Arabidopsis thaliana: one gene and its partners. The protein of the gene in region 3 interacts with the protein of the main gene of each other region in a pairwise test. Each region holds a gene or a part of one and is shown on either strand. Other genes may lie near its edges.

The links.
Region 1: the proteins of SHL1 (region 3) and SCE1 interact in a two-hybrid assay, tested with the Arabidopsis thaliana proteins (one study listed by BioGRID).
Region 2: the proteins of SHL1 (region 3) and ATXR5 interact in binary tests that used the Arabidopsis thaliana proteins (3 or more experiments, as listed by UniProt).

What each region holds. Positions count from the first base shown.
Region 1 is NC_003074.8:21,427,945-21,432,292, forward strand, and holds SCE1 (sumo conjugation enzyme 1), read right to left. Parts: upstream 2,455-4,348; 5' UTR 2,167-2,454; coding exon 2,098-2,166; intron 1,972-2,097; coding exon 1,888-1,971; intron 1,401-1,887; coding exon 1,248-1,400; intron 1,156-1,247; coding exon 1,042-1,155; intron 950-1,041; coding exon 887-949; 3' UTR 552-886; downstream 1-551. Other genes in the region: AT3G57880 (Calcium-dependent lipid-binding (CaLB domain) plant phosphoribosyltransferase family protein), read right to left, coding at 3,254-4,348. UniProt on the Arabidopsis thaliana protein: SUMO-conjugating enzyme that accepts the SUMO proteins from the E1 SUMO-activating heterodimer SAE1/SAE2 and catalyzes its covalent attachment to other proteins with the E3 SUMO ligases SIZ1 and MMS21.
Region 2 is NC_003076.8:3,038,429-3,042,827, reverse strand, and holds ATXR5 (TRITHORAX-RELATED PROTEIN 5), read left to right. Parts: upstream 1-1,666; 5' UTR 1,667-1,857; coding exon 1,858-2,212; intron 2,213-2,312; coding exon 2,313-2,393; intron 2,394-2,657; coding exon 2,658-2,887; intron 2,888-2,982; coding exon 2,983-3,083; intron 3,084-3,169; coding exon 3,170-3,382; intron 3,383-3,464; coding exon 3,465-3,624; 3' UTR 3,625-3,848; downstream 3,849-4,399. Other genes in the region: AT5G09780 (Transcriptional factor B3 family protein), read left to right, coding at 4,344-4,399. UniProt on the Arabidopsis thaliana protein: Histone methyltransferase that specifically monomethylates 'Lys-27' of histone H3 (H3K27me1). Has much higher activity on nucleosomes containing H3.1 than H3.3.
Region 3 is NC_003075.7:18,217,088-18,221,883, forward strand, and holds SHL1 (PHD finger family protein / bromo-adjacent homology (BAH) domain-containing protein), read right to left. Parts: upstream 3,238-4,796; 5' UTR 3,048-3,237; coding exon 2,975-3,047; intron 2,893-2,974; coding exon 2,547-2,892; intron 2,318-2,546; coding exon 2,249-2,317; intron 1,667-2,248; coding exon 1,534-1,666; intron 1,277-1,533; coding exon 1,211-1,276; 3' UTR 542-1,210; downstream 1-541. Other genes in the region: RD19 (Papain family cysteine protease), read right to left, coding at 1-239. UniProt on the Arabidopsis thaliana protein: Chromatin remodeling factor that binds to methylated histone (e.g. H3K4me2/3) to prevent their acetylation (e.g. H3K9K14Ac), likely by recruiting histone deacetylase (HDAC) complexes, and thus regulate the transcription of target genes.

The DNA of each region.
Region 1 (4,348 bases), on a different chromosome or scaffold from region 3:
ATCTACAGGTCATCCTCTAATGACATATCTTCACAAGTTCGGTGGTTTCTTAGACTTGTATCATTTTCTGATGATTTTATTAGAAGCGTCAATCATCTTTTGACGATTTTATAGGATACTCGTTTTGGAAAATCATTGTTCTGATGATAGAATAGATCAGGAATCATCTGCTGATGATGATATCATAGGAAAGATTATAATAGTTCACACATTTCATATCTGAAGTGTCATCACTTGTAGACGATTTTGGCTTGTTGTTGACTTTCAATAATTGAGTTGTATATAAGTATTGAATGTTTGGTTTTATTGCTTTGTAACTGTTGACATACGGTGTTTGCCTATCTCTTTCTGCACACTTGATTTCGTAGCTAAATTCCAAGTTCTGTTAAATATTCCAAGCTTTCTATCTCAATCATTGACAAAAAATGTTCCAAGTAGCAAACAATTTACTAACAAGCACTAATACTACTTCAAAAGTCTAAAATCAGTGGAGTATAAATTTTAGAGGAGTAAGATTTTGACTTTCAAGTGTTAAGCGTAGTTTCAAGTTAGAAATATATGTATTTCTAGATTCACAACTAAGATTCGTTACTCTATGGAATGAAGACTTCATATTTCACTTAGTAGAATTTGGACAACACTCATGAACGACCAGAGAACATAATTATGTATTATATAGAAGCAACACCAACTGAATCAGTACCAAGAATATTAACAGTTAAATAGAGAAAGAAGAGTTTTTTTTCGAAAATAAATAGATTCCAGTGTCTTAAGGTGCCAAAATGAGGAGTTTTCAATCACCCAATGACATCTAAACATAATGACACAAGACGAGAAAATATTCAGAGCTTGTCATCAGTTTTGGTGCGTTCTCTTTTTTGAGGTTTTAGACAAGAGCAGGATACTGCTTGGACTGCAGCTTCACCCTTTTCTTGTACTCAACTGGATCCTGCACAATAATCATCAACAATCACTCGACTTAGTTCCTTCCTATGTTTCAAAACCTAATATTGTGTTTAGAGTTTTCATTTCTAAATGTACCTGACAGAAGAGATGATAACCATCTGTCTGTGCAGGGTCAGCGGGATTCGGTGTGTCAAGTAAATCCTGAATACCAACAAGAATCTGCTTCACGGTGATGGCTGGTCTCCATCCCTATGGATATACACATAACAAAAGAGAGCTTGAGGATAAAGCTGGCTTTTGCTCATGGAGAAATGCAAAGAAAGAAACAGTAGAGTACTTACATAATCCTCGTTAAGGATAGAGAGACAGACAGTTCCAGATGGATAGACATTAGGGTGGAAAAACCCTTGTGGAAATTTACATTTCGGAGGTTTGCTCGGATAATCCTCACTGAAGTGCATCGTTAATGGAAAGAATCCACCTTCCCAATCAGTCTGCAGCAGAGAAACATGTAAAATTAGCTATAAACAACAGTAAAGATTGATATTAGCAATTGCTCTTGCAGTAACACTCTTATTAGCCATGTCAAAGTAAGATACACAGCAGAGTTCAGTTTCAATGTCGTATTCAAGACCAAAATCATATGCACCAATAAAAAAACATCATACAAGATAAACAAGGAGATAGATACACAGCTACTCTTCCCACTAACATTCATATTAGATAATCTTCCACGGCTCTATGTGTAAGCAAATATGAGAGAATCATCAAACAGAATCACAAAGAAAAAGAAGGGAAGAGACTGGTGAAGCTTAAAACTTTGAAGAACTAAGAATCAGAAGATGATAAAAACAAAGACTTTAGCCCAAATCAATAAACCCTAATTTCAATCTCTTTTTTGTTGCTACTAATACAAACCAGAAGAAAACAAGCAGAGGAATAAGAAAACTGAAGAAACCTAATTTCACGATTGATACTTACCCCAGCTTTACCAGGTATAGTGCAATGCCACACCATTAGATTCACAGTTCCATCCTGCCCCGTCTCCGGCTTTGCCACAAAACCCTAAATTTCACCATCAACAAGAAGAAACCCAATCAGTAATCAGAGACCATGAACAATCAACAGAAACCCAAAACCCATAAATCAAAATCACGAATTTGGAGAAATAGAAGACACGAAATCACTTACATGAGGATGATTCTTCCTCCACGATTTCCTCTCTTCAGCTAAACGACCACGAGCGATTCCACTAGCCATATCTCTCTCTCTCTCTCTCTTTAGAATCTCACTCTACAATATCTAAATCTCTCTCTTCTGATTTGTCTCGCTCGCTCTCCAATCTCTATCTCTCTATATATAAACTCGAAGAAGACACAAATAGGAGATTGGGGGAAGATGGAATGTGAAGTTACAGATGTACCCCTATGTTAAAGCTTTAGAAGGGTAATCGGAGTATCGTACGGTCCAGATTTCGCGGCGAATAAATGTCCTTTCGTCCTACTTCCTCCACTTTAATGGTTATTGACCGGTCAATTATTAAATTTTAACCAGGTATAATTATTATCTACTATATCATAAAATAAATGAAAAGACGTAATGAAAAAGTCAATGGATAAATGTGGCGTGAAACCTACGCGATGATACCCAAAAAAGCTACCAAAAGATTCTTTCTCTGCCATAACGTATCATCCCATTTGTCACGTGGCCCATTACCATATCTGGGCCCATTTACTTTGTGTTCTTAACTCTTAAGCTTGCTTTAATTATTCCCCTCTTCTTCTTAATGGTTGGTCTTTCTAGAATAAAAGTATCTCACCTGGCAAACATTTGTCAAACAGAATGGTCGGAAAAAAAATAAAATATCAAAGCTTTCAATGAATTTTTGTGTAAGAATGTTATTTAGCGAACATATATTCCCAATATGATAGTTTTTTTGGTTATAACCAACTTTGGATGTATTAGAAAAATGGTTTTTTCTTGAAACTTGTATTTGACCATTAGACCAAACTGTGACAACCTCTAATCTCAACAGCAACCAACCCAATGGCACCAAACTCCTAAAGCTCCAGTGATAAAACACAAAAACCAGAGAGGCATAGATTATGACTTACTAACCAGTGACAAGAACATCAAAACCACACAAGATACTTCTTTACTACTTTCAAACAAAAGTCTTAATAATGTTAAAAGACAGACGGATACATCATCACCATCACCAAGAAAAGAGTCATCATGACATTTTTAACAATGAACAAACTAAAAAGAGTCATCATGATATTTTTAACAAGAACAAACTACAAGTCTTATAGAAGTTTTCTTCGGTATTGGAAGCAGTTTTTGCAGGTCAGAGCATGCAATCAGTTCTTGCAGGAAGCCTTCTGAAGAAATTGAGAGGAACGGATGGTAGTTTGTATCTGAACCTCGGATGTCTCAGAGCATAGATTCCAATACAAAGAGCCACAACCTGGAAAGGTGTCACATAGAGAATGACTGCGGCAATCAAGCAGAACAAGACGAAGAGCGCTGTTGCACGCGGATCACGCCAGCTTAGCAGAGACTGAAGCCTTTCTCCTTGAGTTGCTAGATCACCTACCACTGTCTGAATCCTACCAGCAATACTCCTCAACCTGTCATACCTCATCCTGACTATGTCAGATGGTCGGGAAGTAGGAAAAGTGTCGAACTCTTCATCTAGCTCGTCGGGGTGGGCTGAGTCAGCGTGAGAGAGACGTGTGTCCATGTGAGGAGGATGCCTCGGTCTCCAACGGTAGTACCAGATACCGATGAGGAAGAGGTAGAGGAAGATGGTGGGCAAGATTAGTTCGGGATAGAGCACAAGGATGATGAACAAGAGATGGATCAAGACTGTTGTGATTGGATTCTTCCAGTTGCAGATTTGTTCAAACCATTTTCCTACTGCGATTAACCCACTCAAAACTCCCATAATCCTGAAAAAGTTTGCTTTGCTTCTCCGCATACTCCACATGTGAGAACCCACATCAAGCATATACTCAACTACTTCTTTCCTTAGAGGTGGTTCTGCTCGGGTCAGCCTCATCGATACAATCTGAGTCGCTTGATGCCTCAAGTTATCAAGCTGGCTAACCGTCAGTGGATGGATATAATGCATCTTCGGTAAGAGAGGCTGTGAGTACATATACATCATGTTGAGCAATGAAGAGCAAGTGAATCTCACAGCTAAGTGAATTTCTCCCATTTTCTTGACTCCGTTAGGATGGAGCACCAAAAGAGGGTATGAATGTGTATAAACTCGATCAGTCTCGAGAGTAGAAAGCCTGATTCTTACCTTCCCGATTCTTGAATCTTTTGCTCCTCCAATCTTCTCACCTCCATGGAGATGGCAGTTATCAAAAACTCCAACAGTAACAACGGTGCACGGATCAAAAACCTCCCAAGTATATTGCTCATTCCATCTTGG
Region 2 (4,399 bases), on a different chromosome or scaffold from region 3:
ATTGAGCAGTCAAAAACAAAATTGGATTTAAAAGATTACAAGAAGTGGATTTGGCATTTGGAGGAACGTTAGGATAAGGAAGGAGGTCTTTGGTGAGTTGCAATTTCTTGTCAACATCAACCTTAGTACCAATTTCCACTTTCATTACTTGAAGAAATTCACTTTCCGACAGAACAGCCTCACTTGTTCGACTTCTCTAAGATTCCCTCTACACCCGTATAACTCCAACACCTTCAACGTATTTCCATCAATGCTATACCCACAAGTACTTACACACTGAAAACCCTGAAACAACGGATAGAAAAGAAAAGAACACACAGTAAGTGAAACTCCGAGATTAAATTTATAATTGAGAAAGAGAAAAAGAGATCATATTATACATACAAACCTTGAGGATCAAAGTTTCTAGATTGGGAGAGCTTTTTATCAGAGTCCAAAGAACTTTCCAACCTTTTTTCGTCTTAGACTCAAACGATAGTTTAACAAGGTTTTTAAACAAGGGAAATTCATTACTACGCCAATAATCGAAGCAATGACGCATCATCTACAACACACAAGCAAACTGGTCATGAATGAAACACAAACAAATTGGTCAAGCATGAATGTAACAAGATACATGGAGAAGAGAGAGACATCATACTTTAACGGTAGTAGAAGCAAGGTCAAGAATGTTTTTCATATTCCTCATATTCATAGGGACAAAACTCATAAGGCATAGAAAGATCGATGCGGGCTTCTCGAAGGGAATCCATTGTGATGGACCAGTAATAGTCTTATTTCTTTGATTTTTTTGGAATACTATGACTTAAACAGTATTAGTATAAGCAAAACTTACATGGCGAGCATATATGAATATCTTGAAGCATCCACCGATGCAAGACTTAAGTTTTCATCCTTGTGAAGAAGTGCAACAACCTTAATAAAGGACTTAGCCACAAAATTACCTAGCATACACCCCGGTTCAGAAAATATGATAAGAAAGTTTTGCTCTCATCGTCAAGAATATATCAAACAACCATTTCACTTGTTCCAATTATGTATATTATTCTTTATAGTCTATACCATAACTATTTCATTAACGCTAACACCGCAATTTCTTATTAATTAAAAACCTTGAAAAAAATAGAGAAAACTATTCATATATAAAATTATAAGATAAAAATTTACAATTGAAAGATATTATATATGTATATAAAATTATGAAAATCAATATGGCGAAAAATTCTTAAATCGGAAACAGAAAATTATGTTAAACCATAAGACATAATTTATTAAATTTTGTATTTTATAGATTCAGATTTATGTAATATTACATTGTTGGTCAAACCAGAACACTTTGGTTTAGCTTGTCAAATAAAGAACTTGAGCCTCCAATGAGGCGGACCGACTGTTGGGCTTGGCGTTGGGGTGGCTCAGTTGACGAAATTGACGTTTACTGTGTTTGTATTGAGCCCACCAACATATATTTTTTTTCAATTGAAAGATATCTATTTTTGTAATTACGTTTGTATAGTATAGTTAATACTGTATTAATTTTTATATCAATCCCTAGTAAATTAAATAAGTAAAATTTAGTTAAGAAATTTAGTAACAATTAAAAGGCTTTAATGGTTGTAAATTTATTAGTATCACTTACAATGTTTAAACCTTTTAAGACATACCAGTAATTTTGAATTTGTCAAAGGTCAAAAAAACAAAAGAGCCGATAAAGAAGAGTCTCAAAGGAAGAATCCCAAATTACACTCCAGGTGATGCGCACATCAGTTTTCGTGCGCACACGCGGCGGTGCACATTAGCCCCAACCAATCAAAATCATATATCCCGTTCTCCGGCGACTCTTCGTCGTGAGCTTCCGTCATGGCCACATGGAACGCATCCTCCCCTGCGGCGTCTCCTTGCTCATCGAGGCGACGAACGAAAGCTCCAGCGAGACGCCCTTCCTCCGAATCTCCACCACCGAGGAAGATGAAATCAATGGCTGAGATAATGGCGAAATCTGTCCCTGTGGTTGAACAAGAAGAAGAAGAAGACGAAGACAGCTACAGTAACGTCACCTGCGAGAAATGTGGTTCTGGAGAAGGAGACGATGAGCTTCTTCTCTGTGACAAATGCGATAGAGGCTTTCACATGAAATGCCTTAGACCCATTGTTGTTCGTGTCCCCATTGGAACTTGGCTTTGTGTCGATTGTTCCGACCAACGACCTGTAAGAAGTATGGATTTTTTGTTTCTTCGCTTTTAAATTTCCTAATTTTCTTGTGTTCTTTGTTTAATAAAAAAATGGATTTTTCTCTTGTCCGGTGAAATGTTTAGGGTTATCTCAGAAGAAGATTTTACATTTCTTTCGGATTGAGAAGCATACTCATCAAACAGACAAATTGGAATTGAGTCAAGGTGCGATTTTTGTTTTTGGATTTCATGATATGATCATAAAGTTCTTGAGTTGATGAATCTGACGAGATGTTTCACTTGATTAAATAGTTAGATGAATATGAAATAGCTTAACTTTGGCCTATTATATGCTTGAAATTTTGTTGCACCTTATGTAGGGTTAATAAGCATTGATGAGAACTTATACATATCATATACATAGATCATAGATGCTTCAGGATTAAACTAATAACAAGTGTTTGAGATTGAGATTTCTTTGTTTTGAAGAAGAAACTAGAAAGCGGAGACGATCTTGCTCTTTGACAGTGAAGAAAAGAAGGAGAAAACTCTTACCTTTGGTTCCATCAGAAGATCCTGATCAGAGGCTTGCACAAATGGGAACACTTGCTTCTGCATTAACGGCATTGGGTATCAAATACAGCGATGGTTTAAATTATGTTCCCGGAATGGCTCCTCGGTCTGCAAATCAATCCAAGTTAGAGAAAGGTGGGATGCAGGTAATAAACAAAAACAATCTTTCAGCCATTTATCCATAACTCTCTTATTTTAAGTTACTTCCTTGATTGTTTATCTCGGTTTTTACTTTTCGCAGGTGCTATGCAAAGAAGATTTAGAGACATTGGAACAATGTCAATCTATGTATAGACGAGGAGAATGCCCTCCTCTCGTTGTGGTATTTGATCCGCTTGAAGGGTATCTCTCTCTATTCCTTCGATCAACCTTCCCATAATGACAAAGTGGAGTTGTAAACATGTTCTTTGGTTATTCCGTTTGTACAGTTACACAGTTGAAGCAGATGGTCCTATTAAGGACTTAACATTCATAGCTGAATATACAGGGGATGTTGATTACTTGAAAAACCGAGAAAAAGACGATTGTGACAGCATCATGACTCTCCTTTTATCAGAAGATCCTTCAAAGACTCTTGTTATCTGTCCAGACAAGTTTGGAAACATATCTCGCTTCATTAATGGCATTAACAATCACAATCCGTAAGCAACAAATTCAAAATTGTTTTCCCCCCACTAAACTGGTTTATAACATTGAATCATCACATCACACTGATTGTTGCAGGGTTGCTAAGAAGAAGCAGAACTGCAAATGCGTGAGGTATAGCATAAACGGCGAATGTCGAGTTCTTCTAGTGGCTACACGCGATATATCGAAAGGGGAAAGGCTCTATTATGACTACAATGGTTATGAACATGAGTATCCTACTCATCACTTCCTCTGATCTTTCAATTCTAACAGTTCTACAGAGTCTCTAGATCAGATGTTCTTTTTGTTGCCATATTACAGGTCAATTATAAATGTAGGGCTGCTGAATATATGGCCTTTAATTATGAAGTTAGCGGTAGAATAATTGGATTTGGAATGACATTACAGAGATTAAGATGTGGCAAATGTCAATTGCTGAACTTTTGTTTGATATCAAATGAAATCCTAACCTTTTTCTTATATGTTCTTGGAGACAACTTCACCACCTTAAGTGGTTGCCAAATAAGTTATAATTTCTTTTATACTCTTCTTCATAAATTTATCAAAATGAAGAACTAATCCAATACAGTCATTACCTAAACAGAAAAGTATAATTACAGTACTTGCCTAGTGTCGTACTTCTTATTTCCAGTCACCGAAATGTATTAACGCCAAAAGAGATTCATCTGTTATGCATAATAATCGCATGCTATGAATTAAATGAACACATCCAAAAAGGATGAAGTCACAATTGTACTACAGTTTCAGTATTGAGAGGAAAGCTTTTTTCACTTTGACCACTTTGATTGAATCATATCTTTGAAATTTTAAGTGGTGCTTTGCTACATATTCAACGGCTCAACAAGACAGAGAGAAAAATATTACGAGAGGAGATAGAGAGTGAGAGAGACGAGCAAGTTGAAGGAGCAAAACTTGTAGGTGAGAGCTTGAATCAGAACATTTCAAAGGAGAGAGATGGCAAGTAACCCTGATTTTCTTTGGTGCAAAGAAGAGAGGAAGCAGGAAAGCTT
Region 3 (4,796 bases):
CTGAGATTCGCTTTGAAAACCGAGAATCTATAGTCATGCTCCTCGTTGGAAGCGTAGACCTTCCCGAACTTCCGCTTGAAGAGAGAAAAGTGATCCTCTGAGGTCAAAACCTGAGGCTCGGCTCCACCAACCACCTGACGGATCACGAGATCATCGCCGTCGTTGACATCAGACGACGAAACCGAGACGATAAAGAAAGACAAAACGAAAACGGAGAAATAAAGCTTAAGACGATCCATTTGATTTGCAATTAGATTGAAGGAAGCAGAGAAGGATTAATATAGATAGAACCCTCAGTAGATTATCACACGCAACGTGAATGTATAGGTGTATGTATAGGTCTCTGCTACACGTCTTTTTCCCTTTGGAGATTAGCTTTCGGTTTCTTTTAAGATAATTTTAAAAGATATTGTTGTCATCATTATTATAGTCGGAGAAAAAATCGGAAGATATTTATGGTATTTATTATTATTTTAAGATGCCTTATCCAAGGGGAAAGGAGAGAGTTAACCAATGATGTAGAACCACGTGTTAATCATTGAATGGGTATGGAGTAATGGAATGGGATAGGTTCAACTTGTTGTTAGCAGTGCCGTGTTGTCTTGGATAATATTAATTCTCTCTTTTCTAAAAACTTTAAAAAATAGTTCTATCTTCCTCTTTTTCTGAGACAAATGTAGAAGCTCATGATCGGTAGTTGCCATGTTTCTCTTCTCTGATTCATTTATTTATGTTCCCAGTGTACTAAAAATAATTTGTAATGTAATTTTATTGATTTTTAGTGTACCTCCTGGTTTTTGGCTGTACTTTGAACCAAATTATGAAGACACGATGATCAAATATGTCTCTTTGAATATGCGTTTTAGAATTAATAAAGAATGAAAAACTAATAAAGAATGAAGGGTTTCTAGAGTTCACAATGAAAACAAACAAATAAGGAACCAACACTCTCTTTGTTTGTTTGTTTGTTTTGTTTTCTTATTATAAACAAACCATTTTACCCAAATTTTATATGTGACAACTAAAGGAGATGAGAAACCACCATACGCTATACATATAAATTATACAACAATCAAGCCAACAAACCTAAACCCTCATTTTTTAAGAAAGAAAAAACTAGAGAGGGAAAGAAAACAAAACCACCTTTGTAGATTACACGATTGATACTCAGACTCACCAACCAGATATCTATAGCCTTTACAAGTTTATGTTAACCTGGTCGCTTAGTGTGTTTGTTCTTCGATTTAGTTACCTCCAGGCTGCGCTTTCCATTCACCTGTTAGTTAGGACAAAACATTTCACAAGGTTGTCTTTGACCTTAATGACACATATACTTTGGGTTTATGTGTTTATTCTGCCTTAAGTTGGTATATTTTATCAGTCCAAGAGCTTACAATTGTTGGCAAGGCTAGCTTTATATGTGGAACGAACGGTCAACTTAAATACCTTAAATTTATTCAAGCCTATTTGCAACGGGTTTGACCATCCCTCAAAAACTAAAGATATTTTCTGAAATGAGAAATAGAGAAATACCTTAGCATCTCTGTTATTGGAAGTTGAATTAGAGTTGTGCAAATTCTGCTGTTGTGGGGAACACTCTTCGCAGTAGAAGTTATCTGGCTTTTTAGCTTCCTCTATTGTTGTTCCTATACAAGAAGGATGAAACCTGAGCCAATGTTAGTTTGCTGTAACATCAAAGGCAACTGACAAAGACATTCGAAACAAAAAACCTTAATCCTCTCTTTACAAAAAAAAAAGTAAAAAGATTAAGCTTAACACTTAACAGTTCCAACTTCCAAGATCAAACGATCACTATTTGTTTCAGTATGACTTCATTTACGTTACTTGTGTCATATAGCAAGCTAACATGGGTGAAAGACCCAAGGCACAAACTAAGAAGCTGCAGAAAAACCCAAACCTTAACAGCGACTCAATCAGTAACGTGTAAGAAAATTTGAAAATCCGCAACATATACATTAGAATGTTAATCACAGATATTACAAACGTTCAGACTAGAGTATCAGCTTATGTTCCTATTCATCTGCAGTTTCCACAATATCAGATAAGACAAAACATGAACATGAGTAAGGAAGAGCATCACCGAAGTAAAGCATGACAAAAGCATTCATCTCAAGCAACCTCAATAGCATATCAACTAGGACCTCATGGATACACGAAAAACATACGAGCAATTCCAGATTGTGACTCAAGAAGATTAAAACAGAGTTTCAAATAAGTGAACACTTACCACTCAGAACACTCCTCGCATTGCACCATCAAGTCATCTGGGTTATACGGCATCTCACACTTGCAGAACCTGCAAACAGAAAAAATCAATTTAAACTCAATTGATTACTTCTCTTTGCAAAAACAACTTCATGAAACCAATTTAGATGACAAATCAATGAATTATTAACAATCAATGCCTACACTAAAGCAACACAATCTAATTTCCAAAAAAGCCTCAATTCAACCGATAATAGTTCCATCATTCAATCAGTATTTTCTTCTCGAATAAAGTAACAGAGAGTCGTAGGAACACATACACGGTGACTCTGTCAGGATCAAACGCGCCGGTAGTGGAATTGTACTCGAAACGACAGAAGAAGTCGTCGTTTCCAACAGAGTCAAGTTTGGTGTAGCTACTGAAACTGTGAACCTTACACTTTCCTTCAATCGTATCGGCGCTTTGAAAATCGAAGTGGTCAGAGAGAAAAACCTCCTTGGCTCCATGGAATTGTCTCCTCCCTCCGATAGATTCCTCAGGGCGATAATACCACCTCACACGAACTTTCGCGTGCGATCCACGCGCGTCCGTCTCGATCGCCTCTACCCTCGCTACGTACGACGGTTTTCCAGGCTCCGACGACCGCATCAACACAGCATCTCCCTCTTTTTAACCACAAAACAACATCGAACGATTCACTTTCAATATCCACGAATTTCAAATTGAGGATGAACAAGTCAGACGTACCTTGAATACTCTTGTTGATGTGTTTGAGTTTATAGGACTTGAGCTGCTTCCTTGGAGCTTTTTGCTTGGGCATCTGAAACTGAAAGGTGAGTAATGGACGATGATGAAGCTCAAGGTTTTTGCGAACAGTTTTTCTCAATGAATACAGTCAAGAATCATCAATCGCATGTCTCGCGGAGTACGGTAAGAACAAGTCATGAGGATCTCAGGAGCGTATGATTGGGTGTACAATGGCAGGATCGTGAATATAGAGGAAAGAAAGGGAGAAAATGGGTAAATAGAATGTCAGATAGCCAATTGACCACGTCAGCTTTTAAGTGGAAGCGCGTGTGTGATACGCGCCTCTAGGCCGCTCCCTTTTGTCGTGAATCATGTAAAATTAGCCACGTAAGCAATTACTCATTATGACTTGTCCTGACTTTGTCTTTGTGTGTTGCATGTTTTCAGATAAATAGGAAATGCTAAGGAATATTTTAAGAACCTTTCAATTCTATATTTATTCACTTATTATTCAATTCTATGCGTACGTATGATTACATTCGAAAGGATTTCCAACATTTTTGTCCCAATAAGCAAATTGGAACAAACACATCCAAATCTACATAATTTGCGCAAGAAAAAAAGATAACCACAAAAAAAAGACATAAAAACAGTAAAGAAAATCAAAAATTGGATATGAATGACGCCCCCACACACTGAACTGAAGTTTGTGTTTTCAGTGTTGGGTTGAGAATAAAAACCAAAGGAGCTACTAAATAAATTGAGAAAGTGTAAGCTTCTTTTTTCCTAAGCAACACAAGGTGAGGAACAGTGGGTGCTACTAGAGACCCTTCGACAAGGGTAGTTTGAGAAATTCACATTGCTGTTAATAGCTGCAGAAAATGAAGATGAAGATGATTGCTTGTTCTTCTTCTTCCTCTTCTTGTAAGCCTCATCATCATCATCGTCATCAAAAGTTTGGGTTGGTTTCTTCAGATCCTCAAGGCATTTTACATCTGAGATACATATGAATGATCTCGCTTTTCCTGAATAGTACCTTGATAATCCTCTCCTATTTTACAACCATTCACAAAATCCAAAATTAGATAGTAATCCGGATTTCCATAACTTAAACAAACAATCATAATCAATGAAATCCTTTTTCAGGATTTTACTTTTTGGGAAGGTTGTTTCTTAGCTCTCCCATATCAAAAGCCAACCCACTTATGTTTTCCATGATAATAGATATAAGCGAGGTAACAAAAACAAAATAAAACAATAATTTGGGTCTCTTTGGCTTTTGTGGGAAAATTTAAGCTATTCATTTCTATATATACACATAAGAAGAGAAAAGGAAAGAGAACTCATTTGCTTAATTGAAGGGAATGGTTTCTATTTCTGGGTTTATGTTTTATTTTACTTTCATGGTTCTCTTACTTTTTGCAGAATCTGTGACTGACCCTAATCTTTTCTCACCTATACTTCCTCTCCTACAAACACTTGTGAAGAGTTTGATATCCAAACATTTACGATTGTGTATGTTTACATATACACAATATTGCAAGGTTTCTACAATGATTAGATGGAAAAATTAATGGCTTTCCCTGATTAGAACCAAACTAACCCATCTAAAGAAGGAAATGGTGTCTATGATTATTAACTAACAGAGGTCGTAAACCAAACACTAAAATTCCATTCAATGAATCAAAGCTTGAATCCAATATATAACAACACACAAACCATTGAGTTCCTTTTCCTTAATATTACTAATTCAGGTTCAAATGTGACAGCTTTAACTAGAGTTTACACTAGACAACAAAGTACGAGAATAGGTTACCCTTTT